5 linked regions of the Coturnix japonica genome follow. The protein of the gene in region 2 interacts with the protein of the main gene of each other region in a pairwise test. Links are inferred from orthologs where the notes say so. Each region holds a gene or a part of one and is shown on either strand. Other genes may lie near its edges.

What was found.
Region 1: the proteins of GIT1 (region 2) and LAMTOR5 interact in a two-hybrid assay, tested with the Homo sapiens proteins (2 studies listed by BioGRID and IntAct). The link is inferred for Coturnix japonica from reciprocal best matches to the Homo sapiens genes GIT1 and LAMTOR5.
Region 3: the proteins of GIT1 (region 2) and PPFIA4 interact in a two-hybrid assay, tested with the Homo sapiens proteins (2 studies listed by BioGRID). The link is inferred for Coturnix japonica from reciprocal best matches to the Homo sapiens genes GIT1 and PPFIA4.
Region 4: the proteins of GIT1 (region 2) and PFDN1 interact in binary tests that used the Homo sapiens proteins (3 or more experiments, as listed by UniProt). The link is inferred for Coturnix japonica from reciprocal best matches to the Homo sapiens genes GIT1 and PFDN1.
Region 5: the proteins of GIT1 (region 2) and HMOX2 interact in a two-hybrid assay, tested with the Homo sapiens proteins (2 studies listed by BioGRID and IntAct). The link is inferred for Coturnix japonica from reciprocal best matches to the Homo sapiens genes GIT1 and HMOX2.

What each region holds. Positions count from the first base shown.
Region 1 is NC_029541.1:1,787,098-1,793,391, forward strand, and holds LAMTOR5 (ragulator complex protein LAMTOR5), read right to left. Parts: upstream 4,274-6,294; 5' UTR 4,174-4,273; coding exon 4,139-4,173; intron 4,028-4,138; coding exon 3,966-4,027; intron 2,397-3,965; coding exon 2,279-2,396; intron 1,850-2,278; coding exon 1,789-1,849; 3' UTR 1,502-1,788; downstream 1-1,501. Other genes in the region: SLC16A4 (monocarboxylate transporter 5), read right to left, coding at 163-523. UniProt on the Homo sapiens protein: As part of the Ragulator complex it is involved in amino acid sensing and activation of mTORC1, a signaling complex promoting cell growth in response to growth factors, energy levels, and amino acids.
Region 2 is NC_029534.1:4,842,725-4,849,051, forward strand, and holds the start of GIT1 (ARF GTPase-activating protein GIT1), read right to left. Parts: upstream 3,543-6,327; 5' UTR 3,431-3,542; coding exon 3,379-3,430; intron 1,204-3,378; coding exon 1,070-1,203; intron 998-1,069; coding exon 885-997; intron 798-884; coding exon 692-797; intron 613-691; coding exon 526-612; intron 445-525; coding exon 314-444; intron 225-313; coding exon 130-224; intron 47-129; coding exon 4-46; intron 1-3. Other genes in the region: ANKRD13B (ankyrin repeat domain-containing protein 13B), read left to right, coding at 5,078-5,188. UniProt on the Homo sapiens protein: GTPase-activating protein for ADP ribosylation factor family members, including ARF1.
Region 3 is NC_029541.1:1,342,697-1,348,299, forward strand, and holds part of PPFIA4 (liprin-alpha-4), read left to right. Parts: intron 1-368; coding exon 369-462; intron 463-698; coding exon 699-780; intron 781-1,285; coding exon 1,286-1,486; intron 1,487-2,070; coding exon 2,071-2,133; intron 2,134-3,203; coding exon 3,204-3,230; intron 3,231-3,587; coding exon 3,588-3,763; intron 3,764-4,139; coding exon 4,140-4,237; intron 4,238-4,867; coding exon 4,868-5,043; intron 5,044-5,249; coding exon 5,250-5,318; intron 5,319-5,603. UniProt on the Homo sapiens protein: May regulate the disassembly of focal adhesions. May localize receptor-like tyrosine phosphatases type 2A at specific sites on the plasma membrane, possibly regulating their interaction with the extracellular environment and their association with substrates.
Region 4 is NC_029528.1:15,556,802-15,563,064, forward strand, and holds the start of PFDN1 (prefoldin subunit 1), read right to left. Parts: upstream 4,149-6,263; 5' UTR 4,057-4,148; coding exon 4,024-4,056; intron 3,852-4,023; coding exon 3,685-3,851; intron 2,924-3,684; coding exon 2,849-2,923; intron 2,728-2,848; exon of another isoform or gene 2,594-2,727; intron 2,562-2,593; exon of another isoform or gene 1-2,561. UniProt on the Homo sapiens protein: Binds specifically to cytosolic chaperonin (c-CPN) and transfers target proteins to it. Binds to nascent polypeptide chain and promotes folding in an environment in which there are many competing pathways for nonnative proteins.
Region 5 is NC_029529.1:10,967,596-10,973,653, reverse strand, and holds the start of HMOX2 (heme oxygenase 2), read left to right. Parts: upstream 1-2,560; 5' UTR 2,561-2,612; coding exon 2,613-2,659; intron 2,660-2,716; exon of another isoform or gene 2,717-2,823; intron 2,824-4,588; coding exon 4,589-4,699; intron 4,700-5,980; coding exon 5,981-6,058. Other genes in the region: structure-specific endonuclease subunit SLX4, read left to right, coding at 1-305, 919-1,255.

The sequences.
Region 1 (6,294 bases), on a different chromosome or scaffold from region 2:
ACCCCTTCCTTACCGCCGTGCTGCTGCTGCATGCTGCCAAACCTTCCCCAAAACAGCAGAACGCAAAGAGGAATCTCCTCGTCATTTGCTCCAGTGGTGAAGTTCCCCCCTCTCACCCCCCCTCCTCTGCTTGTGACCCTCTGCCCCCCAGCCTGGCCCTACGTCCGTGTCCGGCAGAGATGACGACCAATGCAAAACCGAGGCAGGACTTTGTGTTAGGATCCTTCCTCCTCCTTTCCCTGCTGCTCCAGGCCAGGAGTCCCTCCCCTTCCCCTATGGCAGAGCATGATTCCTTTATGGAGGAAACTGTGCCGTCTCCTGGGGTCCGACCGAGGCTCCGTGTCCAGCTGATGGATGGAAGCCAGAGCTGCTGGTGGCCACCCAGCCCTACAGGAGGAGATGACAGCAGTACTGTAATAGGGTAATGCTGTGGGGTCGGGGGGGCTGGCTGTCCCATCCCTGCTTTACTCCCTTCTTGCTGTGGGATCCGGGAGCGGATATCCTGGGGTAAACAGAACAGCATAGAGAAACTTCCCTTACAGTTGGGCATCCAGCACATGCGCTGAGCTTTTATATAGGTGGGACAGTGTTTGCAATGTGTGCTATGAGAGCTTGGGGTGCACAGGGTGCAGGGGGGGAGGTGGCAGCATCTGAGACCATCCCTGTGTATCCAGCAGCCCTAATAATGAGGGCAGTGATCCCAGGGCTTGTTAATGGGAGAGCTGAGTGCTCACAGCCCTTTAACTTTTGCTCTTATAGGAGCCCATGGCTATTTATTGGGGCTATTTAAAATGGGCGTCTGCACTCTGTTTTGAGGAGATGAGCTTGGAAACTGAGCATTAAAGAAAATAAAGGGGAGGTAAATGATGGGCATGATGTAGCACTGCTCACCTCCATTAGCACCAACCTCACCATGAGAGCGCTGTGCAGAGCAGCCCATCCTTAGAGCCTGCTACATACATAACAGTGATGGTGAGGTCAGGAATGTCTGTTTTACACAGTGAATGCAGTTTTAGCTCCAACCCTGCCCTATCTGTTGGTCTATGCTCTGCAGTGAAGCCTCCTTTCTGCTCCACGTATGAGGCCAGCTCCTGTCTGCTCCCTTGTGCTGCGGAAGCATTCGAGCAAAGCAGCTTTTCAGGGCCTTTCTATGGGATTGTTCTGCCCAGTTCCAAATGCTCAAACCTCTAAAGGGAAGAGAGGATTCGCGGGGATGTCATCAGCATCCGTTCACAGTTCACACGAGGGCCAACAAGTTGAGGTTTGAACTTCAATCCGAAGCATAATAATAAGCTGCTCTCACTGAAAGCTTAACCAGAGGAGGCTAAACATTTCCTAGGAGAATAGAGAACTATTTGTATCTCTTCTACTGGAGGGACCTCCAAGTCTTGGTCCCTTTTCTCTGCAGCAATGCCAATGAAGAATCAGACTGGGAGAAGTCCCTCCAATTGGCTTTAGGGAAAGCAATGGGCTTTCACAGTAGGATCAAAGAGAAGCAACAGTTTTTGCAGGTCATTTATTGATTTCTCCAACAAATAAGGCCACGCACACACACACACACCTTGTAGTATCTATCATTACACAAGCTTGGTGAGTGACTCACGTCTTTAACAGCACGACTGCTAAAACGTGAGCTGGAAACCCTGATAGATGCATAGGAGCTGGTAAGTAGAGAGGGAGAGCCTTCAGCCCAGATTTGGTACTAGAAGCGTGTTCTGCATTGGAACAGCCAAGGAGAATGAGGAGGAGCTGGTCTGGAGCAGGGAATGGAGCATCAGGATGCCACGGTCAGGATGCCAACTTGTGCACTGCTACGGTGATGCTGTCATGCTTCTGGATCATGATGTTCCTAGAGCAAGGAAAGTGCTGTCAGAGGAAGGTGAGAAACCAGCTGGGAGAGCAGGAGCTGACTTGGCTGGGAAACCAGATGGGCAGCTCAGTGCCAGACCTGTCAGCTGTTCCCACAAAGGGGGATGATGGAGTCCTGCTGACCAAAACGACACTACAGCATGGGCTAAATAATCCATGGGGATCCAAAAAGCAAAAGAAATACAGTGCTGCAGCAACCACCAGCCCCTGAAAGGCTTCCAGCTGCTTCTGCAGTTCCCAAAGCCTGAGGTCCCATGAATCTGACTTCTTTTCATACCCCCCTCCCAACACAGCTTCAGCAATGGGGCTTCCTCCAGCTCTGCCAGTGAAATAGAAGATGGAGAGCTCTGCTCTGGAGATTTGGGGTGGGGAAAAAGGGAAGAGCAGCAGCCTTGGGCTGGATGCTCACCCACTGTCTGACTCCAGGCACACCACAGGAGTGTCGGTTGGGTCGGAGGTGAGCTTGGCTGCCTGCTGGGCCAGCACAGAGATGACTCCAGCATGTTCATCTGAGAGCGTTCCTCGGCCTGCAAGAGGGGAGATGTGGGTTGAACTCACGCACACCGTGATGGGAGGCAGCTCCCCATCCCCACTTCCTTCCCTTATTGCTGTAAGCTGATGTAGTACCTCCCCAGATCAAAGAATCACATGAGTTGGTAGGGACATATAAAGGCCATCAGCCCAACCCCCCTGCAATGAACAGGGACACCCATAGCTCCAGCAGATGCTCACAGCCCCCATCCCTGACTTCCAGTGTCTCCAGGGCCAGAGCACCCACATCTAGCTAGGGGCAACCTGTGCTGGTGCTTCTATGGGAGTCCATTGGGGTTCTATGGGGGGGTCCATAAGGGGTTCTATGCGGGGTCCACAGGGGCTCTACAGGGGGTCCACAGGGGTTTCTATGGAGGGTCATAAGGGTTCTATGGGGGGGGGGTCCCAAAGGGGGTCCATAGGGGTTCTATGGGGGGTCCACAGGGGTTCTATGCAGGGGGGTCCACAGGGGTTCTATGCAGGGGGGTCCACAGGGGTTCTATGGGGGGGGTCCAAGGGGTTCTATGGGGGGGTTCTTTGGGGGTATGCATCCAGACACGCATTGCGATGCGTGAGTTTCTATGGGGGGTTCTATGGGGGTTCCAATACGGGGTTCTATGGGGGGGTAATAGGGGTTCGTAATGGGGGGTCCACAGGGATTCTATGGGTCTGGGGTTCTATGTGGGGGGGTCACAGGGGTTCTACTGGGGGTGGGGTCCACAGGGGTTCTATGGGGGGGGTTCTATGGGGTGTCCACAGGGGTTCTATGGGGGGTCCATAGGGGTTCTATGGGGGGGTCAATAGGGTTCTATGGGGGGGTCCATAGGGTTATATGGGGGGGGTCCATAGGGTTATATGGGGAGGGGGTCCATAGGGGTTTCTACTGGGTGGGGTCCCAAAGGGGTTCTATGCCAGGGGGGCACAGGGTTTCTAAGGGGGGGGGGGGGGGGTTTTTTTTTTTTATCTATGGGGGTCATAGGGGTTCTAATGGGGGGTCACCAAGGGGTTCTATCCAGGGGGGTCCACAGGGGTTCTGTGGTTTGGGGGGGGGTTCTAATGAGGGGGTCCACAGGGGTTTCTATGGGGGGTGTCGCACAGTGGTTATATGGTGGACAGGAAGTTCTATACGGGGTCCATAGGGGTCTTATACTGGGGGGGTCATAGGGGGTTTACTAGGGGGGTCCATAGGGGTTCTACGCGGGGGGGTCCACAGGGGTTCTATGCGGGACAGGGATTCTATAGGGGTCCATAGGGGTTCTATGAGGGTCCACAGGGGGTCCATAGGGGTTCTATGGGGGGTCCATAAGGGTTCTATGGGGGACAGGGGTTCTATGCGGGGTCCACAGGGGTCCTATAGGGGGGTCCATAGGGGTTCTATGCGGGGGGGTCCACAGGGGTTCTATGGGGGACAGGGGTTCTATAGGGGTCCATAGGGGTCCTATGGGGGGGGTCCATAGGGGTCCATAGGGGGTCCATAGGGGCTCTATGGGGGTCTATAGGGGCTCTATGTGTGTCCCCATGCCCACCCCTAACCCAGGCCCTGCCCTGGTCGCTCCCATACTCACACCCCAGGTTGAGGCCTTGCGAGTCGGTGCACAGGACTCCCACCACGGCCGGGTTCTTCATGCTGCGGGAGAAGCGGCGGTCAGCCCGGCCTACACCCAGCCCCCAGCCCGCGGCCTTGCCTTCCTTCCCCCCCCCAGCCCCTCGGTCCCGCCGCCCCCATCCCGGTCCGTACGTGTCCTCCAGGTGCTGCTCCAGGCTCCCCTCCATGCCGCCCCCCTGTCGCCTTCACTTCCGCCCTTCTCGGCGGCTCCTGGCAGCTGCGTCGGTCATGTGATGCACGCTACGGTGGCTCCGCAGGGCCAAAAAGCGAAGCCAATGTACGGGAACCGCCCTGAGCAGCACCGGTATGTTCCCATTGGGCAACCACTGGTCAACCATTGGTCAACCATTGGTCAACTAGTAGTCAACCACTGGTCAACTGCTGGTCAACCATTGGTCAACCACTAGCCAACCACCGGTCAACTGCTGGTCAACCATTGGTCAACCATTGGTCAATCATTGGTCAACCATTGGTCAACTGCTGGTCAACCACTGGTCAACCATTGGTCAACCACTGTTAACCACTAGTCAACTGTTGGTCAACTGCTGGTCAACCATTGTCAACCACTGGTCAACTGCTGGTCAACCACTGGTCAACCATTAATCAATCATTGGTCAGCCACTAGTCAACCACCGGTCAACCGCTGGTCAACCATTGGTCAACCACTGGTCAACCACTGGTCAACTGTTGGTCAACCATTGGTCAACCACTGGTCAACCATTGGTCAACTGCTGGTCAACCATTGGTCAACTAGTAGTCAGCCACTAGTCAACTGCTGGTCAACCATTAGCCAACCACAAGTCAACTGCTGGGCAAGCACTGGTCAACCAGAAGCCAACCACTAGTCAACAGCTGGTCAACCATTGGTTAACCATTAGTCAACCACTGGTCAATGAGGACCTACAGGTACCACTAAGTCCAACTCCCTCCACCCAACCCCTATGGTTTTGGGTGCCCCTGCCCTGTGGAGCTGTGCCATGCCCACCTCCCTCTGGTGCTCAGCCTTTTCCTAACACCCATCCTGTCCATCCCAACACAGCTCCATACCTTTCTTTATGCCCTGTATTTGTCCCCAAAGAGCTGTAAGGGCCCCACACCCACTCCCACAGAGGACGTGGGGCTGTAGTGTTGTATCACAGCCATTCGTGCCCTGCTTTCAGTGTGCAGGAGGTGATGGATGGCAGAGCCATCAGAGCCTGAGACTGATGGCTGAAACGCATCCAGCTCAGCCCTGGCAATGGATCTTATCATGTCAGGCTGGAAAATTAAAATGTTATTGATGGGGGAAGTGAAATGCAGTGGTGATTTTTCTTAGTTTTATTTCTCTTTCAATTTTTTTCCCCTTCTTGATTGAGTTGGAATCGTCACCAGTCACTCCAATCCCATTGCATCCCCCCCATACTGGATATCCTGCCTGTCCCAGAGCTCCATTTTGGGTTATTTTCACCCTCCTTTGTGGGGGGGAACACAGGAATAAGATACAGCTGTGCCCTATTAAGGTTGAATCCCCCCCATACATACACACACAGGGACCCCAGAATCCCAGCTGATGGCCCATTCCCTGCAGTGAGGCTTTAGGACGGAGGAATTTCTGAGGACTGGGAGAAATTAATTCAAGACCAGGTGGAGACTTCAGCAAAGCAGGAGAACAGCTGCCACTTCAAAGGGGACGCTGGCCTTTGGAGGGGGAAATAGCCGGGCTATTTTTAGGCAATTAAATAGATAATTTAACATGGGATTGATGCTGTGCAAGAGAAATTCTGCTGTCAGAGACAGCAGGAAGCAAAGCTGTTCTGCTGTTTGGCAGCCTGGATGTTACAGGGATGGTGCCTTGAAGTCCAGGGCTGGAGAGATTCCATTCAGTGGGTCAATATCAGTAATGCTCCTTCAATAGAGACTTACTTCGAGCCCTTGTGTAAAGGAGCATTGCCACCTCCTGGGCACACATGGCACTGGGCAATGGGAACCCAGGCTGGGCCATGGGAGCACAGGACAAGCACCAGCCACAGCTGTGTATTTCTATGGATTCATGAAGCTTTCTCCATGCAGAGCTCTGTCCCTCACACCCTCCCACAATGTGTAAATAAAAGCAGATGCTGACGGTTCATCCTCTCCTGTTTTTAAGCTCTAGCAATCCCTGCTCTTGTTTCCATGTGCTCCCAACAGACGCTCCAGATTCAATCAGACCCATAGAGAGGGGGGACACACTCAGGATATCCCACTATCCTATGAAGCACCAATTGAGTCATTTACACATCATGTACCATCCACGACGGCCCTTTATATCT
Region 2 (6,327 bases):
CACCTGTCTGCCATCTGCGGGATGATGTAGTGCCCGTTCTTGTGGTCTGCACAGAGATAAGGGGTGGTGAGATCAGCCCCTCCGGCCCCTCCTAACCCCCCCATGCAATGCGATGGGTGCAGCACTCACCCGGCTTCCTGCCGCACAGGTAGAAGGCCAGCCGGTCGGTCAGCTCATACTGGCACTCCACCAGCCGCTCTGCCAGCTCGTGCTGGGCCGCCTGCCTACGGGGCACGGCCGGGGTGACACCAACCCTGGGCTGGCCACGTCCCTCCCATCCCAACACGACCCCCCACCACCCCAACGCTCTCACCTGGCGTAGTCGATGGGTGTCCTCCCATTGACGTCGGGCGCACCAGGGTCAGCACCGTACACCACCAGCAGCTCTGCCTGCAGGATCTGCCCTGCCTTGGCAGCCACGTGCAGCGGTGTGGTGCCCTTCTCCTGTGGGTACAGCCGGCGTCAGCCCCGTGATGACAACATCATGCCCCCCCCCCCGGGCTGTCTGCCCCCCCCAGAGCTCACCGGGTGGAAGAAATTGGCCTGAGCCCCCAGTGAGAGCAGCCGCAGACACGTCTCCAGGTTGCCCGTCCGCACGCTGGAGTGCAATTGCTGCAGGGGGAGAGGCAGCAGTCAGTGCCAGGAGTGTCAGCAGCACCAAGGGGGGGTCCCCATCACACCGTGCCCCCACCTTGCTGAGGTCCTTGGCGGTGACACCATCATCATCCCGGCACGGCAGCTTGTGCACGAAGGCCAACATCTGGTACTTGGCGCGGATGAACTCTGACTTGGTGGGGCTGGAGACACAGGGTGAGGGGGGGGGGACATCCACCACAGCTCCCCCCATCCCCACAGCCCCATCCCCACACACAGCCCTCACTTACTGCACTTTATCCTGGGGATTTGCCTTCCTGCGCCCGCTCTGCACCTGCGCCGGGTCCAGCAGCGAGTGCTCCCAGATGGAGTTGGCCCCATTGCTGGCCAAGGTGTGCACCATCTATGCATGGGGGGGGGCACAGTGAGCCGATGGGACACCCCCCTTGTAACCTCCCCCCCCGGGTGCACCCACCTGCAGCAGCGTGGCGGGCCAGGGGCTGTGCCGCAGGTGCTTGACGATGGAGATGTGGCGGCCCAGGCTGCGGTGCACGCTGCAGCACTCGTCGCAGATGAGCACACCGCGGTTGATGGAGGCCCAGCCCGGGTCTGCAGGGGGCGTGGGGTGTTATGTAGGGGGGGCTGTGTGTGGGGGGGGGCAGCGTCACCGTAGCAACATGGCGGTTTCCAGGGTGACGGAGAGGGGCTCAGCCCATCGCCAGGGGAAACCCAAAGGGTTCCCTTAGCAACCAAGGGGGGGGGGCAGGATTTGGCCCCCTCATCAGAAGGGCTGACAGCAGCGGGGGCGATGCCAGCACTGTGCAATACACCCTTACGTGCCGATGCTGTGTCCCCTGTGCTGCGGGTGTCCCCATACAGGTGGGTGCCCTCCCACCCACTCAGCCATCACGGACTCAGTGGCTGTGCCCCCCCCAGCAGCCCCACGCCCCCTGCCCGGCCCCGCTCGGCCGCACTGGAGCCCTTTGTGTCCCCAGGAGAACAAAGGGACGTTTGAGCACTGTGCTGGCACCGGCCCCGCTCCAGCCACGGGGGCCCCACCGTTCTTTGGGGGCAGCTCCCCACAGCCAGCACCCCAATGGGTCCAGATCCCCCGGCACCAACAGAAGGGATGGGGGACAGATGGGGTGCCACCCCCCCCTCCACAGGGGGCAGGGGCAGGGTGGGCCATACGGTCCCCAGCGTCCCTGTGCCATAGCAGAGGAGTGTTGTGCATCTATAGGGCCTACACAAACACCGCGCCGCCCCACGGGAGGAAGGGCTGCGGGTGGGAGGGGGCAGCAGCACCACCAGCGACCCACCCCCATCACCCAGTGCGGCGCTTCCTTCCCACCCCCTCCCCAAAACCCCACTGCTGCCCCACACCAGGCAGCCCCGACCCCTCTAATATGGGGGGCACAGCCGGCAGCGGCCACAAGGCAGTGTTGTCGTCGTCCCCCCCCCCAAATCCTGGCAGCACCGCCCGGGCAGATGGCAGCGCTTGGCAGCAGCACCGCCGCATCTGCGCCTCCGCACCGCGGCCCACGGGGCGCTGCCGGGAACAGGATGCTGCGTGCCGGGGGGGGGGCACCCCATATAGCACCCCATATAGCACCTCATATAGCACCCCATATAGGATCCCATATAGGACCCCATACAGCACCCCATACAGCACCTCGCAGTGCCACCCCTTCCTCCTTCATTGGGATCGGGGCGGCTGAGGGCACAGCAGAACGGTGCTACCCCATAACCCGGAGCAATGGGAAACTCCATCCCTGCGCCGCGGGGGCGATGCCGGAGCCGGGCACCCCGCACATCCCGACACCGGCTGCTCCCGGCCCCGCGATGTCGGAAGCGGCCTCTGGACTTTATAACTCATTTCCTCCCATGGCCGCCGGGCGATAAGGGATTGGGAGAAAAAGCTTTCCATTTCCCCCATAGGAACCTCGGCACCGCCGGGTACCTTATAACAGGGGCTGACCCACAGCAGTGGGTGACCCCGCAGCCCCCCATGCACGTGGCCGCCATCCTCAGGGCTCTGAGCCGCTTTCAACGTTCATTCATTGCCCCCAGCGCCGCAGGGATGGGTCTGGGGGTCACAATATGGGGGGGGAGCCATCTTTAGGGTATGTTATAGAGATAATGGGGTGCAGCGGGGATTCCCAGTGCGGGGTGTAAAAGGGGAACCCGGGGGTAAAGTAGGGGGTGAAGAGTGGGGGGTAATGGGGGGCAACAAGGGGCTGTAAGAGATAGAACAAGGGGTCTGGGGGGCACAGGGGGCATTTTAGGGCTCACTGTAGGGTTCCTGGGTGCAGAACAGGGGCACCGGGGGGCACAGTGCTGGGTGCCGAGAGGGAAAGTAGGGGTACAAAGGGATGGGGAATGGGGTGCACCGAGGGTTGCAGGGGGAACGGGGGGGGGGTTTATTTAGGGCACGTTGTGGGGTTGCTGTGGGCAAAGAGGGAGTCGGCAGGGTATGCAGGGGGAACCCTGGGCTCCTGGGGTCTCAGCACGGGGTGTGAAGGAAGGGTGGGGGTCACTGGGACCCCTGGGGTAAATAGGGGGTGCGGGGGGGGGAGGGAGGCACCGGGGTATCGCGGGTACAAAGCTGGGGGTTCAGAGCGGGGCAGCGGGGTCCAGAGCAAAGGGGGAGGGGGGCGTCATCCAGGTGCTGATGCTGGGGGGGAGGGGATGGAGGCACACGCACAACCGAACTGCGAACGGCCCCGCGTGGAGGAGGGTCGGGGGGGGATAACGCCGACGGGGCCGGGCGCGGCCCTTCCCTACCTGCGGCACTGCAGTCCGCGCACACCTCCGCCCGCTGCGCCTTCCGGGACATCCTCAGCGCCGAGCCGGGCCCGGGTCTCTGCGCCAGCGCGGAGCGGGGCCGGGGAAGGGGGGGATGGGGGGGTCGGGTTGGGGAGGGGTCGGGGGGGGGCGGCGGGGCTCGGGGCCGCCTCGCCCTCCTGCCGCCTGCCCTGCCGGCTGCTCGCAGCCCCGGCGGCTCCGCAGGAAGCGGCTCAGGCCCGGCCCCGGCGGAGGAGGAGCAGAACCGCCCCCGCCCCGCGCAGCGCAGCGCAGCGCAGCGCAGTCACGGCGCGCCCTGAGCAGCAGCGGGTGATGGAGCTGCGGCCCTTTGGGGCGGATCGGGGCCCGTCCTGGTGCTGGTTCTCGTCCTCATCCCGGCTCTGTCATCCTCTGGTTCTGGTCCCGGTTCTAGTCCTGATTCTGTGCGTCTCCTTGTTCTTGTCCCCATCCTGGTTCTGTTCCTGGGCATTCCCTGCCTCTGTTCTGGTCCTGCTTTTGGGTATTCCCTGCTCCTGGTCTTGGTCCTGGGTTAGTCTTGGACCTTGTCCTGGTCCCGGTTTTGTCCTGGACAACCCCTGGTTCTTGTCCTGATAGTGATCCGGATCCTGGGCATCCTCTGGACCCGGGCCTGGTTCTCATTTTGGTCCTGGTTCTGAGTTGGTCTCATTCTAGGCATCCATTGGTTCTGGTTTTAGCCTTGGTCCGTGTCCCGTTCCAGGTTCTGACCCAGCCCATGTCCCGGTTCTGATTCCATGCACTCCCCGGCCCTGCCCCCAGCCCCATTCCCAGCCCAGGGTCCCATCCTGCACCCGCACCCCCGAGGCCCCAAATCACCCCGACCCCCACCCCCACGATGGCTGAACCTGGCATAGTGTGTGTGGGGGGGTTTGATACTGGGGGTGCCCATCTCTGTGCCGTTGTCAGATGGGGTCGGGGGGCGCCACCCCCAGCCCGGGGGACCCCGATCAGCGCCCGGGGCTGGGGGCACAGCGCCGTGTCACGCTGCACCCGCCCGGCGCTGAGCTCACCGCTGCATGGCCGTGACGTCACGGGACAGCGGGACCTTTGGGGGGGGGTCGTCACGGCCACAGCCCACCATAGGGGCGGGGAAGGAGCGGGGTGACCCCGCGGGAACCCCATAGGGGCGTGGGGAGGGGTCGGAGGGTGGGGGGGGGGCAGCCGTGGGGCCCAACCTCGCATTGTTCTCTGGCGGCTGCCGGAAAACACGAGCGGAGGGACGGGGGCGGAAAGGGAAATGGGGCCGGGGGGGGGTCGGCACCCCACGGGCTCATCGCGGGGGTCGCGCTGCTGCGTGTTGAGCGCCCGTGGGTGGGGAGAGCGGGGGGGTGCGATAAGAATTCAGGTTGTGCCTTCGGGCGCTGCGGAGCCGTCCCCGAACAGCCCCATACAATGGGGGGGGGCATAGGGCCGGCGGGGGGTGCGGGGAGGAAAAGGAGGAGGAGGAGGAGGAGGAGGAGGAAGGGGCGACGCCGCGCTCAGTGACTACAAGTCCCATGAGGCCGGGCGGTGCGGGGGGAAGATGCGGGGGGGACCGTCCGGGCGGCTCCCACCCACCCCCCCCCCCCCACCGCCCCGCCCCGCTCCGCGCCCCGTTCCGCCCCGCCCCGCGCCCCGCTCCGCCCCGCGCCCCGCTCCGCCGCTCCAGCATGAACGGAGGATGCTCGCGTCTTGCTCGGGCAGGAAGGGGCCGGAGGGCAGATACCCGCTGCATTACCTCGTCTGGCACAACCGAGCCCGGGAGCTGGACCGGGAGCTCAGCGCCAAGCAGGTGGGGCGGCGGTGCGGAGCGGTGCGGTTCCGTTCGGTTCGGTTCGGGCTGATGCAACGCTGCGAGCTGGGCTGCGGCCGGGGCTGGGGCTGAGGAGAGGGATGGGGCTGGGGCTGGGGCTGGGGTCCTCCTGCCGCGGTGATGCTGATGGGGTGGGGGTCCCCTCGTGCTCCCCCCGGCGCTGTGACAGCCGTCACCGGAGCAGCAGAGATCCCCCCCATCTCGCATCCCCCCACTCCCAACCCCCCACATCCCTCCCCACGTGTTCCCCTCTCCCTCCTAGGCCTCTGTGCCTCCTCCCCAGCACCAGCCCCCCCCTCCCTCTCCCCGGAGGTGGGGTGCAGCCAGCACAGCCGCCCCAGCTCCCCACCCTCCGGGGGGGGGGGGCACACAAGGCCTTGCTCTGCTGAAGCGCAGCCCCCAGCCCCAGGCAGCCAGGAGGTTCTGTGCAGGGTGGGGGCACTCTCTGTGTGTGCTCCCCCCACTTCCAGCCTCCATCTCCCCATTGGCGTTGCAATTCAGGTAATTAAAACCCAACCCTGAAGACGCAGGAAACCGCAGGCTCTGGAGGAGGCCATGCCTTCCTTCCCCCCCCCCCCTCCAGCCACAGTCACTGCCACCTGCCCCCCCGCCACCCCGGGGTGCTGGGGGCCCAGCAGGGTGGGTGTGGGCAGGGGTCTCCTCGTGTTACGATGCTGCCATTGGGATGCAGAGATGCTCTCGCCACACCCGTCTCCATTGTGGGGCCATCTGTGGGGGGGGGGGGGAGCTGTCTGCCGGCATCACCCCCTGCCCCATCACCACTGTGCTGATGCAGTGTCATCTGGGGTCGGTTTTCTCGTTGCAGTGCAGACCAAAGCTGCATGTGGGGTAGTACAGGTGGGGGGGGGGGCTCACAGTGACCCCCCTGCCCAATGGGGACCATCTTCTGGCCCCCTCACCACCCTCCATGTCCCTATTGTCAGAGCGAGAGCAATTCCGACCCTGCATGCAGGCAGGGTATGAGGGAGGGTATGGGTGCTGCAGGCCTGACCCCGGGGCTGGGGGGGGCTTAGGGGAAGAAGGGGGGCAGCCCCCCACCTCTACCCAGGGGCATCCAGGGACACAGCGCAGCCCTGTGCATAGCAGAGCATCCCTGG
Region 3 (5,603 bases), on a different chromosome or scaffold from region 2:
TGCTAATGCTTTCCAAGAGATGCAGTGAGAATAACAATCTCCCATCACTATATCTTATCCCTAACATTCTCAAATCTGTTTACCCCAACTTGGCACCTCCCTCATGTTGCTCAGCACTGTGATAGGAGATGCTTTTCAACATATACATCCTTTATTCCATCAGTGTTGAGCACCTTGAAATGGGAAGGCTGGCAGGCAGGGATCCCTGTGGGTTCCAGTGTGACAAGTGGTGCTCTGGGGGTGGGTTGGAAATGGAGACCATTGCCTCCTGTACTGTGATTGTGCATGCCCATAACTTCGGTGCAAGGATCCATGCAGTGCCATGGGGGACAACGTGCTGACCTGGGAGTATCTTGCTTACCCAACAGTGTTGCTGACCGACACAGAGGTGGGCATTCAGGACCCTCTGGGACTCGGCAAGCTGGGTGCTCAGGCTGAAAAGGATCGGCGCCTACGGAAGAAGTAAGTGAACCTCATTCTCTGCCACAGCAAGAAAATGGCTCTGGCTGCTAAGCTGTGACACAGGGCTAGGAATTGCTGAGAAGACTTCTTGTCTTCATCTCCTCTTGAGCCTTGTTAGCTCCTTTATTGCTTTGTTTCCAGCTGGTTTTTGCTTCTGATAGTCTCTTCTCTTTTGCTAGTTACTTTCTTCCCCTCAGGCTCCCAGTAAATCACTCTTCTGCTTCTTTTTGCTCCAGGCATGAACTTCTGGAAGAAGCTCGGAGGAAGGGATTGCCCTTTGCTCATTGGGATGGTCCCACTGTTGTCTCCTGGCTGGAGGTGAGGCAGAGTGTGCCCACACATTGTCCCCACACACAGTCTGCAGTGTGTTCACCTGGCAGGGGTACAGAACCCTGCAGTCCCATTTTGCTCCATGCATGTGGGTGGTGGTTGCAAAACAACCCACGCTCAGCAACTCCAAACCCTTTCCCAAGACATGGAGATGTTTTCTGTGCTCTCCTGTTGAGAAGGGAGGTGGCAAAGGAGCATCTGTAGATCCAATTGAGTGGAGCTGGGGGAGCAGAGCAATTCCCCATATCTCTCTCATGTCTACAAGGCTGTCCTTTGGGGTTTCTTCAAGCTCTTGAGTTGAAAGGCTCAGTGGATGTGCATTCCCTATGCTCTACCCATGAGATATAGAGAAGCTGCTGTGTCCACAGGCAATCTATGCAAGGTCCAAACAAAAATGGATCCCAACCTGGGTATGCAGCCTTGATATGGAGCTTCAGACTGGATGTCCTCTACCCTCCCTGGGTGGATACCCAACTTTGCCCTGTCTCAACAGCTCTGGGTAGGGATGCCAGCCTGGTACGTTGCTGCTTGCCGAGCCAACGTGAAGAGTGGAGCCATCATGTCAGCCCTGTCTGACACCGAGATCCAGAGGGAGATTGGCATCAGCAACGCGCTGCATCGCCTAAAGCTGCGACTGGCCATCCAGGAGATGGTTTCACTCACGAGCCCATCAGCACCACCCACCTCACGGACAGTAAGCACTCCATCCCACAGCTGTTTTCCCCATCCCCTGGCACTGTAGGACCACAGTGGCTCATCAGCCCCCAGAGAGTCCCAGTATTGCAGGGAAGTGCAGCAAGAACTTGCCAGTGTTTAACACAGATCTCCCACTTGCCCTGGATAATACATGGGGCTGATAGTGGGATTGTAGCTTGTGCTGGTCTCTAAAGCCCCCAAGGGGTTAATGGTGCCCCAGTAAGCCAAGACATGTCTGTAGAAATACAGTCAGCAAAAGGAACAGCCCCAGGCATGCCCTCACATGGCCCTGTCTGGGGTCACAGCTGTCATAGGCAAGCCTGCAGGCTCTGTGAACATAAAACCAAAGTATAAAGGCAGACAGAATGCCACTAGATCTTGCTGCACTCTCTATGGCTCTATGGACAACCCAGATGTCACCATCCCAAACTGCAGGGATGCTGCTGTGTGCCCCCTGGCTCTGCTCCACATGTGAGGATGCTCTGATCCTCCTTCACCCTGAGCCGGGCTTGTGTCCACTGTAGCTGTGAGCCCTGGTTCTACAGCAGCTCACTTTATCCTCTCTGCCCTTTTCTCCTCCAGTCCTCTGGAAATGTCTGGGTGACCCACGAGGAGATGGAGAACATGGCGACGTCCACCAAGACGGTGAGGCTGGCTGCCCTGCCGCCATGGCGGATCAGTTACCGAGCTGAGCTCCAGGCGTGCATTAAGGCAGTAAACCCCGGGAGGGAAGGGGATCTTTGCTGTGTCTCATGTGTCAGCTCTTGGCCAGCACCATGCACCTGTTTAGAAACCATCTTTCAGTCTTTAATATCCCAACGATTTCTAAAGCTGGCTTAAAAAAAAAACATCAGATGCATTTTCCTTTGTCAAGCCCCCGTGGATGTTGCTGGGTTTCTAGTGCCAGCTATGAGTTAAACAGGAAAGAAAAATACAAGAGTGATCTCAGATAGATGCATGAGACTGAGATCCACATTGGTCAGCCAACACCCAGAGAAGTCACTTTCCCATTGGCATTAGCATGCCCAAATATTGCCCCTGCTGTCCCTACCGCTGGTTGATACGTTGAGGTTCCTCAGAGAGATGTAGCCATGCTCCCAAGAGCTCTGGGTTCTTTGGAGGGATGTAACCACGCTCCCCTCTCAGCAGCTTAATGACCTTCTGTCTGTGTCTCAGAGCTGGGGCAGCAGTTTGGGTTGGCAGTGTGAATTAATTTGGCATTTTACTGAAGCTCATGCCTGCTGTCTGGGTGGCACAGAGGTTTGTTATTGGCAATGGGATCTTTTGGGGACAGGGAGTTCAGAGTTACAGCTGGAATGCCACACTTTCCCTTGTAGGTTTTGTGAGGCTGAGAGAAACCAGCCCGTGATAACAAGCTGCAAAATTGGCAGATTGAGGTGACCCAAGAGCTGCCCATATTTCCCATGATGGATGTCTAAGCTCTAGTGTCTGTGCCAGCTAATGCCAAAGACCTGTTAAAAAAGCCCCATCCAACATCCTTGCTTGACAGAGATGTCATGAATCCTGAGTCCTTGCAGGGCTGGGATATCCCCAGCACCCTGCTAACAAGGCTGAGCCCCACAAGCCCATCATAGTCACACCATGCTGAGGGGTCCCATGCTTGGCACACGTGGCATAAGCTGTCACTGTGAAGTGCTGCCGTGTACTGACTTTACCTGTCCTTTCTATTGACATGCTGCATGTGTCACGCTTAGGACACAGAGGAAGGCAGCTGGGCACAGGTGAGGTCTCCACTGTGTCTCATTCATTGAATGGTACGTGGGGTGGATGTGGGAGGGAGAGCTGGACACGACGGGGCACCCAAGGAATAAGCATGGGGCATCAGCACATGATGAGTCCTGCTTGGAGTTGAGCCTGCACACAGTGCTTTCTCTATGAGCATAACATGGGTCATGGCCAACAGGACCATTCCCCCCAGCTCCTCCAGCCCAAAATAGGGTTGAACACCCCAGTCCACATGTAGTTCTCAGGACAGTGGACCACCATGCTGCAGCACTGAGCTGTCACTGATCTCCTGGGGCTTTCTGCAGGTCTTCTGAGCCCTGTTTTTTTCCTAGCTTCTCTATTTGCTTTCACAGACACTGGCCTATGGGGACATGAACCATGAGTGGATTGGGAACGAGTGGCTGCCCAGCCTGGGCCTCCCTCAGTATCGCAGTTACTTCATGGAGTGTCTTGTTGATGCACGGATGCTGGACCACCTCACCAAGAAAGACCTCAGAGTGCACTTGAAGATGGTGGACAGTTTCCATCGGTGAGTCCTCCCCTTTGGGAGGTCCTTGAGGTGCAGTACCTGCATGTGGATCAGGGGATGGGGGATTTTGAGGGATTCTCCTCTGTCTTGGCCAGCCTCAGTGCTGGAGGGTGGCTCATCTGGGCCAAACTTGGGACAGCCTGCTCTTAGAACAGGATAAAACTGATGGACATGGGGACTCCCACAAAAGGGAGGGATGTTCATTCTCCATCTTCTGGCTAAGATCATCCCTTTGAAATTCATCTATGATGACTCAGTCCTACACCAAAACATCCTTTGGGCACATGGAGAGTTAGTAGGAAAGTGGGTCCCTCTGCAGGGTCCCTCCAAAGTGTCTGCCCTCCTGAAGGTTGGGTGATGTCTTATGTCCTTGCAGCACCAGCCTACAGTATGGCATTATGTGCCTGAAGAGGCTCAACTACGACCGCAAAGAGCTTGACAGGAGGCGAGAAGAGACTCAGCACGAAATCAAAGGTCAGCAGCTACATCCACCATCGTGGAAAAGCCGACAAGAAACCTTCAAAGAAATGCCCAGTAATGGTCTCTCTCATATTCATAACACAGCACTTGCTAAATGAAAATCAGTATTTCTGAGCAATGCTCATGCCTGTAGGGCTGTTCTCTCTGCAGTATTTCCCCTGCTAATTGTTCCAAGTACCTTTAATCTCACCCCAGTCAAGCATAAGTAAGGAGGGAGGGTGTCAAGACATGAAGGGCCTTGTCCCAGCATCAGATCAGCGTCTCCTCCTGCTCCTTTCAGATGCTTAGGACACCCCCCAGCTTATCAATCTCTCCTTCCTTGTTGGCTATCCTGACATTTCCTGTGCTTAGATTACAACTCATTATTGATAATGCCCCTAATTACATCATCGATCCAGGGCTCTTAGGATTAATTTTCACAGTTGTTTTCTGCCTGTCATTTCTGCATTTAGTTTGGTAACTTGAAGTGAGCCATTCCTGGCACTTAGCTACACGTCACTGCTGCTGGCCCAGGAAGGAGACTCAGCCTGGGGCTGTGTGGCAGGACTCCAGCACATCCCAGCCTACTGCACAACCAAGAGCACTGTCTGGGCTTCCTTGTAACATGCTCTTGTTCTTTTGCAGACGTGTTGGTGTGGACCAATGACCAGGTCATTCATTGGATCCAGTCCATCGGGCTCCGCGAGTACGCCAACAACCTCGTTGAGAGCGGGGTGCACGGGGCACTCCTGGCCCTTGATGAAAACTTTGACCACAACAGTCTGGCTCTCGTGCTGCAAATCCCCACGCAGAACACACAGGTAAGGAGAGCTTCCATGGGAGATTTTGGAGGAGGATGGCTGGGACATAGCTGCATTGCGACTCCCACCAACTCAACTCTGCCTTTCAAAGCAGAGCACTCTGATGGTCAATGGGCTTTTTCTCCATCGTTCTCAGGGCTGGGTTGGGGAGCTGTGCTTGGAGCTGCTCCCATAGATGGAGAACATTCATTTGATGTTATTTTCAGGCTCGACAAGTGTTGGAGAGGGAGTTCAACAATCTGCTTGCATTGGGCACAGATCGAAGGTTGGACGATGTGAGTACGAAGACTCTCCCATACTCGAATTGTGCTGGGTACCTGTTCTTGTTCAAGAAATGGGAAGAACAGAACTACTTCTCTCTCCCCACTTGTCCTGCGGAGACAAGTAGCAGTTGCACGAGCAGTGGAATAAATTAAAACTAAATCATTTAAAATTCAAAACAGTCTATGGAAGCAAGTGAGGTAGAATCCTGTGCATCTCTTCTAGTGCTTAACAGGTTGAATTTGAGGAGGAATCACCCAGCTTTTCTTGCCAGCTATTTTTTTGTAGCTTTTTAGAGG
Region 4 (6,263 bases), on a different chromosome or scaffold from region 2:
ACTTTGCTTCATAGCACTGCAGAACAGCGGGACAGAGAGGGCCTGACAGCCCCCCCAGCTCAGGGCCCGTCCATGGCCTGAGGCACCTCCAGGCACGGTGCAGCACAGCTGTAAGTACACACTGCTGCCTCAACCTCACATCCAGCTTCTCACCCACCAGAACCTCCAAGTCCCTTTCCACAGGGCTGCTTTCAGGGAGTTCTTCTCCCAGGAGCAGTTCTTGTTGTGTCTCTGTACTAAACTTATGGTGCCCTGTAGCCTTTTGTTCCACATGAACAACTGTCTTGTTCAACACAACGTATAAACAGTGGTCCAGTCACAAGCAGCAGGATACAAACTGTTTTCTTCTACTTCACTGGACAAACCAGACTTTATGTGGAAAATTAAACCTTCACTTTTTCAATATTAAGATAAGTGAGCTTCATACTTATGATGTACATATTGGCCAGAGGCAGACAGCAACACATTTGTCCTGGGATCCATTTAAGTATCACAGCACCTGCCAGCTACTCAGCAGCTGGGGTTCAGCACTGAACCTGCACAAAGCCTTACCTAAGGCAATGGGAAATAGTGGCCACTTGGATTTCACAGGCCGACCTATACATAGTAACCAAACCATAAATACAAAGCCTTGCCTGTCCTTCCATTCTTAGTGAGTTTTGGAAACCTGAGCAGGAAGCAGAGGCTGGCTACCACGTTCTGCAGTGATCTGTCCTCAGAGAACCACACACACACACAGCGCAAAACAAAACAAAAATCTGCTCTTGCTGCTGCATCCAAAAATACACCATTGGAAAACTTTTAGGAAAGTTTACAATTATCTGTGATGTCTTATTTAGAAGCAAAATTCAGAATCGTACTAAAAATGGGAGTGCATTCAAACCCAATAAATGCTCAAAAACCTTGAATCCTCTCACAGCTTTCACTCACGTACGGTTCTGCCAAAAAATCTGAGCTGTTTTTGAAAAAATAAAATAAAAAATTCCATTATCACAGCCATCTCTGTAGAAATAGTACACTCACAGAAACCCTGAAGCATAAAGGTGTGCTACAGCATTTGCTTGATTTTTACTTCTACAGCAAATGAGAGAAAACTAATGATAAAGCAACATCAAAACAAAATGGAACATCTATTTTGGCATGGCATGAAAAACTGCAGTGGTCTCCTCACTGTGCCCAGCATAAACCCCTGATGTTTTCCTTTGGTAAGTAAGAAGCTGGCCCAGGTCATTATTTAATGGAATGTGAAGGGAAAGGTCGGAAGCATTCAGACAAAATTCTGAAGCTTAAGCTTTCGGCATAGTTCTCAAAGCAGCACGATGATATCAGTTCACAAATAGCTTAAGCAGGAGTCCACCACAGTGGTAGTTGTCTCAGGCTAGATAACAAGCCTTTCAAAGAGCATGAAGTAAGAGAATGAAAATGTATTTGGCACGGTGCCACTACTCAGATGATATCCTAGTCAAACAGATATGTACAGTACACAGCAATTCATCACCTCATACTATGTGGCACTGACAATGGTTGTGTTAAACCAAAATTAGCTACAGTAAATGTTTAGGAACAACAAATGGGCTTTCACATTTGCCAGTGGCTCAGGGAAAGCCTCTTGGGCAGGAAGCAGGCTCTGGGCTCAGAGCAGGAACCACATAATTCTTTACAAGTAGCGCAGAAGTATGGAACTAGGTAGACTTCTTCCCAGGATACAGCACACCATCACATTCCTGAAACACTCCGTTTTCACAAAGTCCTGGAATAGCTCGTTCTACCCAAATAGAACTACTAATTTGAAAGGCAGACTTAAGCCCCATGGCCAAATCAGGCATAACTCACAGAAACACTGCAGTAAGCTAAGGAAGGGGAAATAAAAGTAAAATAAATCAGTGAATAAGTAGTTTGGAGAGCATGAGCACTCTTAACCTGAATTTGCATAGTGACTAGGACAACAGAACCCGCAAAGAGTTCACACTTCAAACATTTGAAGACTAATATCATGCAGATAGTATTTTTCTACCATCACTGAGGAGCAAAGTGCTGCACAGCAGAGTCTGAACCACCTGCCCGGTCACATGAAGGTAAGCAAGAGTACAGTCTCAAAAAGACTGGACTCCAGCAGCTGGGTTGAAAGCAGGACAGTACTTTTCAGTTAGCACAGAAACATTATCTCATTCACAACCAACATTTTACAATGAAGGCTGATATATTGATGCTTTCAAAGAATCTTGAGGAATTATTTCATAATGGAGAAGTATACCCTGCTTTAAGATTAAAGATAAAAAAATAAAAAAAAATTTGAAGAAAAATTGTTGCTTCCAGAATCTCTTAGTTTGTCTTTTCTGTGACAAAAACAATGAGCCTACAGCCTGCCTGGGTCATATCAGCTATCTCCTGCAAGAGATCTGCAAATTCTATCTCCTTTCAACATCATCAGCAGCTCCACACAAACCCAAGTTCATCTGCTTGGAAAACTTAACAGGAGTAATTCCACAGTGGTCCAAAGAAGGCTGTCACGCTACACACCCCCCCATCAAAATCACAGAGTAGCTTCAGTTGGAAAGGACCTAGAGACCACTGAGCTTCAGTTGGGAAGGACCTAGAGACCACTGAGCTTCAGTTGGGAAGGACCTAGAGACCACTGAGCTTCAACCCTCTGCGGCAGGCAGGGCTGCCAAATACTAGATCAGGCTGCCCAGGATGAACCCAGGCACAGCTTCATTTTCCCATTGGTCTTACCTGACAACTACCAGTGAAGCGCAGTCCACATACCAGTCCTGGCTTCCCAGCCCGCAGCTCCCTAAGACTCACCCAACAGATTGTGTGATGACATGAATCAGGCCCAGGAACTCACCGCAACAGCAGGCTGAACCAGCTACAAGTCTGCTGCAGCACAAAGGAGAGTTGGGAGCGGGGAGATGCAATCGCCCTGTGGGCAGCAATCAAATCAGATTCAACCTTCTATAAAACATCATCCCTGAATAAGCGTAATCATCACTGTTGCCCAGTTCACAATGGAAGAGAAAAAGCACACACAGAAAGTTAGCACGGCACAGTGAGTCAGCACACACGTCAGACTGGAACCCAGTTTGTGTGTTGCACTTCATGAGGCTGCTGCAGTCAGAGCTGCGCTGCCAGAATAACCCAGGTGCATCACTGCAGGTGTGAGGTGTGAGACACCACCCAGCGCGGGCAGGCGGCTCCTCGAGTGCGCATCAGCCTCGTGCTCACTTCCAAATGCTGAGGCACGTGGACACCACCAGCCCGACACACACTCGCTGGTGCTGCCCAGGGCACCGTGCCCGGGTGCACACCGATGCTCCGGGTGCACACCGATACTCCGGGTGCACACCGATACTCCGGGTGCACACCGATGCTCCGGGTGCACACCGATACTCCGGGTGCACACTGATGCTCCGGGTGCACACCGATACTCCGGGTGCACACCGATACTCCGGGTGCACACCGATGCTCCGGGTGCACACCGATGCTCCGGGTGCACACCGATGCTCCGGGTGCACACCGATGCTCCGGGTGCACACCGATGCTCCGGGTGCACACTGATGCTCCGGGTGCACACCGATACTCCGGGTGCACACCGATACTCCGGGTGCACACTGATGCTCCCCCGATGCTCCTCGTGGAGCCCAGCATCCCTGCTTCTGCAGGGACGGTGCGGCCGCTACTCACATCCTGCCCACGCCCTCGTACATGCGCGTCTCGTCCACCAGCGTCATGATCTCGGTGTCGGTGAGGTGCGCGTGCTTCTTGCTCTTGCTGAGCTGCTCGATCTGGATGTCGGCGAGCTTCACCTTCTGCTGCGTGTCGATCACCTTGGCCTGCAGCTCCGTGAAGGCCTGTGGTGGCAGAGCGGCACGTCGAGCGGCTGCGGCCGGGCCGGGGGCAGAGGGGCGGGGGGCGCCCGGCCGGGCCGAGCCGGCCCAAACTGCGGGGAGAGGAGGGGGAGGAGGGGGAGGAGGGGGAGCAGCGGCCCGAGAAACACGTCGGACGGAGCCGGACACCCGTTACCTTCTTCAGCTCCAAGTCAACGGGCGCCGCCATCTTCCCCACGCTCGGCGCCTGCGCAGTGGGGGCGGTGGGAGGGCGGGGCGGAGCGGGCTGCGGCCGAATGGAGGTTAGAGCGGGGTGGGGTGGGAGGGGGCCGAGGAGCAGCAGGTTCCAGCCCACCGACCTCCATATCTGATACATGGCACAGGGCTCCATCCAGCCCGGCCTTGAACACAGCCAGGGATGGGGCATCCACAGCCCCTCCGTGCAGCCTGTGCCAGCACCTCCCCGCTCTATGTGTAGAACTTCCCCCAACATCCAGCCTAAACCTTCCCTCCTTGGGCTTAAAACCTTTCCCCCTTGTCCTATCACTGTCCACACCAGTAAAAAACTGATTCCTCTCCTGTTTATTATCCCCTTTTAAATGCTGGAAGGCTGCAATGATGTCACCCCACAGCCTTCTCTTCTCTAGGCTGAACAAGCCTGGCTCCCTCAGCCTGCCTTCATCGGGGAGGTGCTCAGCCCTCACAGCATCCCACCAATGCTCCTCTGGGGGGAATGGAACCACCCGCGGGGCTGTGGCTGTTCCCAAAGGGAGGCAGCACTGCAGCTTTGGGGTTTCTCCTTGGCTGCCTCCCTCAGAAGCGCAGGCCGAGCTCCGCTCCTGCAGTGCTGCAGCTCTTCTGCTCCATGCAGATCATGGCTGTGAGGTGAGCAATGGTGGCACTGCACTGCACCAACACTTGGTTATCAAACAGGCTGCTGTAACACACTGTGTTGGTTTGGATTTGGTTTTAAATTAAATCCAAAGATTCTGCCTGCCTACGAGCCTTGCTCTGGAGAACAGCCGGTGTTCGTGGAGGAGGAGGTGTGCTGCAGGTTGCAGGGCTCAGTGCTGGGGCACAAGGAGTGTCAGCAGTGGGATGGAGCACTCGAGGGAGGCAGGCTGGGTGGCAGGGCTCAGTGCCTTGCTCCAGGCCCCTGCTGGGCACTGGATTTAGATTGCAGTGGCTGAACTCAAGGTGGCTTTGCTTCACCCAAGCATTGCAGCCATTCATGAGCCAGCCGAGATACAAGAACACGCGGGGCTGCCACAGCTGCAGGTTCCAGGGCAAGGAGCAGGGCAGACCACACCCCAGCTCCCCATAACCCTCCCCCCTCCAGGGAGTACCCCAGCAGGATTATCCCTGCTGCACCCCAAGGCCAGCAGGCTTGAGATCTGTGCCGCTGCTCCACAGATGCTCCTGGGTAGTTTTAGTACCCCACCATAAAGGGCAAGTTGTTATCTGTACCCTTTGGAGACCTGACCCACATCTCTTAAATCAACAACTCACGTGTTTGTTACAAAGTTATTTATTAGAATATTACATTGCACTTAAAAAATAAAGGAGGTCTGACCCACACAAGGGTCATCTTGAGTTACACAAAGGGTACAGAGGCAGACCTCCAATAAATATAAATACTATGTACAATTTATCTAAAATAAATATATAATTTAAAAGGAACATTCTCTTGTTAAATAGCTGTTACCCTCCCACCCCTCCTGTGCCCACGGAAGCCTCGAGCCTGCTCTCCCAGCCTTTCACAGTTCGTCCCCTTGCATACACTGCAGGGGCTGCCCCAAGCTGCTGGAGAGTCCCATGCAGCCGGCTTGGCTCAGAGCCTGCACGAGAGCATCGCTCCCAGCCCCCTCCATCTGGAGGCCACCAAAGCTCCCTCCAGAGGCACAGCTGCCAGGTAAACCCTGATGCAGCCTCATCCTGCTGCACTTCAGGGTCCCAGGGACAGTGCTGGCTCCATGGCTCACATCTTCCAGGAGGTAGAACTGCATCAGTGCCGAGCCCTGAAACAGAGGATCAAGGGAATGGTAAGAGCCTGGCTATGCAGCTAGTGCATCGTCTAAAAAGTAGGATTTGGAGCAGAGCTGAGGCAGGCTGGCAGCACCCCAGCACCCAGTGACCGCTGCTGGGAGGAGCACACCCAGCCACAGTGATGGAGAAACAGCATGGGGCACTCCCATGCCCAGCTGCAAGGCGTTACGTTGCAGTAAGTAATGAGCAAAGAACAAGTGGGAGGGAAAAGGAAGCTTTTTATATATGTATATAAATAGAGGAAATATCTAAGGAGGGGAAATGACTCAGTAGATCAGACAGAGGGTACAGAACAAATTGCGGAGGAGACAGTGGGGAGGGCAGGGAAAGCAGTTTCACTGCTGCCAAATGTCACCAAACTATGCAGCAACAGGCCCAAGGAAGGACGTA
Region 5 (6,058 bases), on a different chromosome or scaffold from region 2:
AAGGGTCCCAAAGCCTCAAAGGCTGTGAGCAAAAGGAAGCAGGTTGCAACAGGTTCTTCAGTGCTCCCTGTAGGGAGGAGTGAGGATGACCTTGTCGGACCCTCTAAAAAAAGCTGTGCAGCACCCAAGCAGAGAAATGAAATGATACATCATCCAGAAGGAGACAAAGAGCAGAAAAGGTCAGCTGTATCTCCAGAGGGATGGTCTGTGGGAGCTGATGGTGAGGAACCAATGCTCTCTGCATCTCAGGAGTCTACAGCTTCTTCCTCAGGGGATGGAAGTGACATCTCTTTTGGTTCACAGAGGTAAGGGAATGAAATACTGAACAAAATAGTCAAAGGTGCAAGACAGAGATGAGCTAGGACCATGTCTAAGAGGTGTCTGTGTGGCCTACAGGTGCTCTGCTGCCTCCTTGGGTTTGTTATTTGAAGGTCAACACCATCCTTTAAAATAAGTGAACTTTGGGCTGTTTGATCTGAATCCCATTGAGCTATTCCCAGAGCACAAAAGCTGGTGGCTGAGGCCACATGCAGGCAAGGCCCATGTCTGGCATGCCCAGTCACTACTCTTAAGAACAAGCATTGGCTGAGAGCTGCATCTGGCATGGGGAAAGGAGGGCACAGTAGTATTTGACAGAGAAGGCCGCAGTAAAGCAGCAGTAGGTGGTGTGGGTCAGGAGCAAGGAATGCCGGCCAGTTCCAGGCCTCAAAGAGCAGGACGGGAGCTCTCATGGCTGGAATGGGAAAGTTTGTAGAACATGTGCCTTGTTCTTCACTCAGTGTGTGTGTACTGATATCAATCTATGACCCTACAGATGGTTGTCACAAGGGCGGGCCACCAGCTACTTAGGGAGATCTGGTTCTGTCCTTCACGGCTTGTTCTTTCTTTGATTTTGGGTCTTCTTGGCCTTCTTTCTAGTTCTTTTGTGAAGGAATTGGAGGCCTGTGCATTTGCAGCTGAAGAGGAGGAAGAAGAACTTCCAGCGTCCCAGGCAGCAGCTCGGGAAGAAGAAAAACTGGAGGCAGTGAGGAGCTACATCCGCTCAAACCCAGCCCTGTACGAGAGGATTCTCTTCTATGAACCTATTGAGCTGGCTGACCTACATGCAGAGTTGAAACTGAATGGTATTAAGATTTCCAAGGCAAAGCTGCTGGACTTCTTAGATGCTCAGTGCATCACCTTCACCACAGCTGGAGCCCGGAAAGAGAAGGAACAGAAGAGAAAAGGGAGCAAAAAAAAGAGGAAACGATACTGAATAGATCCCACTCCTCTATCCTGAAAATTTCCTACATGGAGGCCTTCCTCCTAAGGTGGAAACCCTATTCCAGGCTGGTGCTGGCGGAGGTGGTGTGATCAGTGGGTGCACTGCTCCTCCTTGTGGCCTGCTGTCCAGATGACACGCTGGAGAATGGATCTGAACTGAGCTTCAGCTCTCAGCCCTCCTCTGAGCTGCACAAACTCCTCTTTCAAGGAGCCTTTTTACATTCCCTGAGTTTCATCCTGTGCATTCTCTTCTCTTACCATTTTAGCAGGTTTTAGATCCCCAGCATCTCTTCTTGTTGGTGCTTCTGAGGTGGTTGCTTCCTCCAGTGGTGCTTGCCATGGTATTTGCCCCAGCCTTGGCCTGAACCCTTCATGTTCCAGTACTGACTGCAATAACCCATGTGTGTTTCACAAGTGGCTGCAGCACAGTGCAGGTGTTTTTCTGCTCTATTTGTGGTGGCTCCCCGAAGTGCTCTGTGACACCAGATGTCAGGTAGAAGCCATTAAGGTTTGTACGTTCAGTTGCGTGTGTTCACTTACATGCAGACATTGGTGCTAAAGACATTACCAGCTCCGTTTTCTGAGCACTGTTTTACCTTATCATTGTAGCCTGTGATCCCAACAGTGGCTTTTTTAAGGACAATGTTGTAGTGACCAATGGATCTCTCCAGCAGTTCTCATGTCCTGATCTTTGTGGACCTGTTTCATTTCCAAACTGAACCGATCCTTGGTTGGAAACTGTCTGGGTCTCTTGGGGAAGCCTCGGACACTAAATATTCACCTTATTTCACCTTATTTATTAACTTTTACAACACCTTTGGATTTTGCTCTGAGTCTGCAGATTCTCACTCAGCAAAACAGGCGCAATAATCAAAAGAAGCAAAAGCTTGATTTGAATGTATTTATGTATTTGGAACGTCTTTATTATTTTGTTTGATCCAGCACTGCCTCGGTTTTATTTGATTTATATACAATAAATAATTCGGAAGGAAATAATACTAAGCTATAAGTGATGTCTCCCGAGGGACTTTTAGGGGTGTTTCTAAGCAGAAACGTTGGGTTTGGATGAGAGCAGGAGGAGCTGTGCACAATGTGGAGTTCACATAGTCTGTGTGAAGAGGCGACATGGAAATGTATTGCTATTGACCGAAGTGATAAGGATTGACCTATGTGATAAGGATTGACCACGCTGCCGTCGGCGCATGCGCAATATCAAACCGAGGGGGCGGGGCTTGCCGTGACGCCCCGTGTCCCCATTGGCTGCCGGTGAGGCGGGGCAGAGCGGAAGCTCCACCCCTCGCTGTGACGTACAGCCTTCTCCTCCAATCACAGCTCTCCCCGCGGGGTAAATGCGGCCCGGCAGCTGCGGCCCTTTGTCATACCGAGCGGGCGGCGGGTGAGTGTGCGCCGCGTCTCCATGGCAACAAGGCCGGGCCGGGGTCGCGCTGAGGTGGCGGCGGGCCGGGCTGCTGGGCCGCAATAGGGCTGAGGCCTTGCTGAGGCCTTGGGCTTGTCCTGGGGTGGTCGAGGTGTCTGTCTGGTCCTTCCTAGCGCTGCCCGGTGGGTGCTGGGCCCGGTGGGTGCTGGGCCCGCTGGGTGGGCTGGTTGCGGCCTGGTGCTGAGGGTGGGGGTGGGTCGGGGCCTTGTTTGGGCCTCCCCGTGTCCATCCTGTGTTACCTCCATCAGCCTCAGCGCTGGGAGCTGCGGGGTGCGAGGATGCTCCGGGCTGCTCTAATGTCTGTGTGTGTCACTGCGCTGCCCTCACAGCCCATAGGAGAACATAACCCCTGAAGGCAGGGCTGGACAAGTGAGCTGTGCTCTCTATAGGTGCTTCATTCCTCAGTCGTTGATGTGCTGGGCTGCAGCTCTGGGAGATAAACAGTGTTTGATTGGGCTTGGAGCGTGGCTTAAATCCAGGTGGAGCCTTAAATCCAGGTGGGATCTGGTAACGCAGCCATTTGTTCTGTGGGCTCCTTGGTCATGACCTCAATCAAAGATCCCATCTCTGGGGTCTGCCTTCCCCTTCAGAGATGCTTTAAAGCAAGGAGCTCAGCCGTGTGTGTTTGGGGAATGCCTTGGAGCTGTGTGCTGGTTGAATAGCAGAGATGAACTCTGTGTCGAGTGCTTGTCCTGTCAGTTACTGAACTCATGAGAGTGCCCAAGCAAAGCCAGGACTTCCACTCTTGTTTCCTTACTGCAGCAGTGTCTCTTGGATTCCTTTAGAAGGCATAGAATTATTTATTCTGCCTGCACTGAGAGCAATAGCTGTGCATGTTGAGTGTGAAGCTTGCTGTGTAGGGGGAAAACAAACTGCTGGCTGGATGAGATGGAGGTATTTTATAGGAGGGGCCGAGTGCTGTTATTGGGAAAGAAATATTTGGAGCTGAGCTGTTCTATACCAAATCTTCTCCAGCCCTGCTGTCCTGACTCCTGTGGCTGCTGGATCCCTCCCAGGCAGGCTGCTGGTGACTGTGTTTACTCTGAATGTCAGCCAGGAGCCTCATAGCAAATGCAGCAGTGCTCCAGCCCATGAAGCACAAGCAGGCAGCTGCTGGGAGCTCTGTATGTGTAGGTCACTGCCTCTCTCAGAGGAGTGGAGTGCTCCAAGTGAGCATCGCTTTGACCAGCAGCTGCATCGTGGGACAGAGCTCTGCAGGGTGTCCAGGGCTCCTGAGAGGTTTAGAAGTAGGTGAGGAACTGGAGGGTGGTTAATTTATAACTAGCATCCTTTGCTTTTGCATCTCATGAGTGTGGAGCCACTGACTGTTCTGCCAGCTCATGCTCTGTATGAACTTGCTTGGCCTGCTCTCAACTGCTTGTCTGATCTGCTCTCCTCCTGTCCCCAGATGCAGCCTACCAGGGAGGCCTGAACCCAGCACTGGGAGGGGAGCCGGCTCCTTTACAGCCATGGTTTGCTGAAGAGCCAGCAGGAAGCTTAGCTCCTTGCTCATCTGCCAAGGCTGCCTGTAATTTGGGGGAGTAATCAGCACAAAGCTGATTACAGCTCCATTTTATAAATGGGATGCCTGGATTTATGGCCAAGCCAGAGTATTCAGCTGGTGTAAGCCAAGTGTCTTGCTCCTGGCTCTGGGTACTTCTTGTGTGTGCTGTTATATCGTATGAGAAAGAAAATCTACCTCTGTTTTGGAATGTTATCTGCTCTGTTGCAGGGAAGGCTTCTATAAAAACATCAGGTGGCTGCCCCTCACCACCCTGCATGGTGGTGCAGCTGCAGGGCTCCCTGTTGGTCTGCTCTGTGTTTCTTCCCCATTGCTCTTGTTAAGGCAGCTTCCCTCTAAAATCCCTCTCTAATTTTGCCTTTCAGAGTCTCTGATCTCCAGAACAAACCAGCAATGCCGTCAGTTATGGAGAGCTCAGAAGGAGGAGATGAAGGGGAAAGCTTACGCTATGAGGATGTGGAAGATGACAATGTCAGGTGGGTGCTGCTGGCACTGTCTGGTAACGTGGCACAGAGCTGGGTTTGGGCAGGGCATATCAAGCTCAAGTTCAGTGATCTCCTTGTTCATACGTGGTCTTCTCCAGCTGAAAACCAGTCCAGCCAAGACTGAGGCTGCCCTGCAGTTGGGGTTAGATGTTCCTACAGCATAGGAACAAATGCAAAGGCTGCAAAGGAACAGAGGCTGTTCCTGTAAGGTGATGTACGCAGAGCAAGTTCTGCAGAACTTCTTCAAAGGTCTGAACAGAATGGTTGGTTATCCCTCCAAACAACAAATAGCTGTGTGCTGTTATACACAGTGCAGCTGCTCTCTAAACTGTGTTTTATAGGGAAAATTTTCCTTATATGAGAATGGTGAGTTGGGTGGTTCCAGAATACTGAAGTGAGCTGATTGCTCTTTGACTTGACAGGCTCAGCTTCATGGAGGTTACCACTCCCTGGCTTTCCTGTTGTGTTCAGCCTGTTAAATGCATGAGTATGGAGCATTCAAAACATCTTTTTTACAGCTGATATAAACATGTTACCTGTTGCAAACCAGCCATAAAAACAGGGTTAGGTGCACTGTGGCATAATTTTGTGGGTGTAGGTGTTGATACCTGTACTGAATTCCAGGTAAGTGCAGTAGCTGTGATCCAAGATAATAAGTTTTTAGAAGGAGAGCTTGTGGAAACATGCAGAACCAGCAGAATTCAGGAGAAATACATGGTTTTTGTTTTTGTTTTTTTCCCTTTAAGAGTGTTCATGCCCTATTTTGTCACTGGGCTCTCATCTTCAGTGTTTGCCCAGGGAGGCTGTGGATGCCCCATCCCTGGGGGCATTCAAGGCCAGGCTGAATGTGGCTCTGGGCAGCCTGAGCTGGTGGTTGGTGACCATGCACACAGCAGGGGGGTTTGAAACCAGATGATCTTTGAGGTCCTTTTCAACCCAGGCCATTCTATGATTAATGCAATACCTTTGGTGCCCCAGTCAGAAAAGCTCAAGTTCTGCCTGTATGTGTCCATCCACTCCTACCCAAGGCTGTCTTCTGCAAAGAGACCAAGGAGGATATTAAGGTGGGAGCCCTGGCTGCTGCCACCCTGACACTTCCTGGGGTGATGCTGGTTCCAGCCAGCAGGGCTGGCCCAAGGGATCCCTGCTCTGAACCTGCACCAGACTGAGCCTGTGATGGCAAGGCTGGAGGGTTCCTACAAATTCAGTAAGGACAAACTCATGACTGTATGTGGAAATGGAGTGAAAGGAGCTCTCCCTGCTTGCCTGCAGCCCCAGTGACCTTTCAGAACTTCTGAAGGAGGGAACTAAGGAATCCCATGACCGTGCAGAGAATACTCAGTTTGTCAA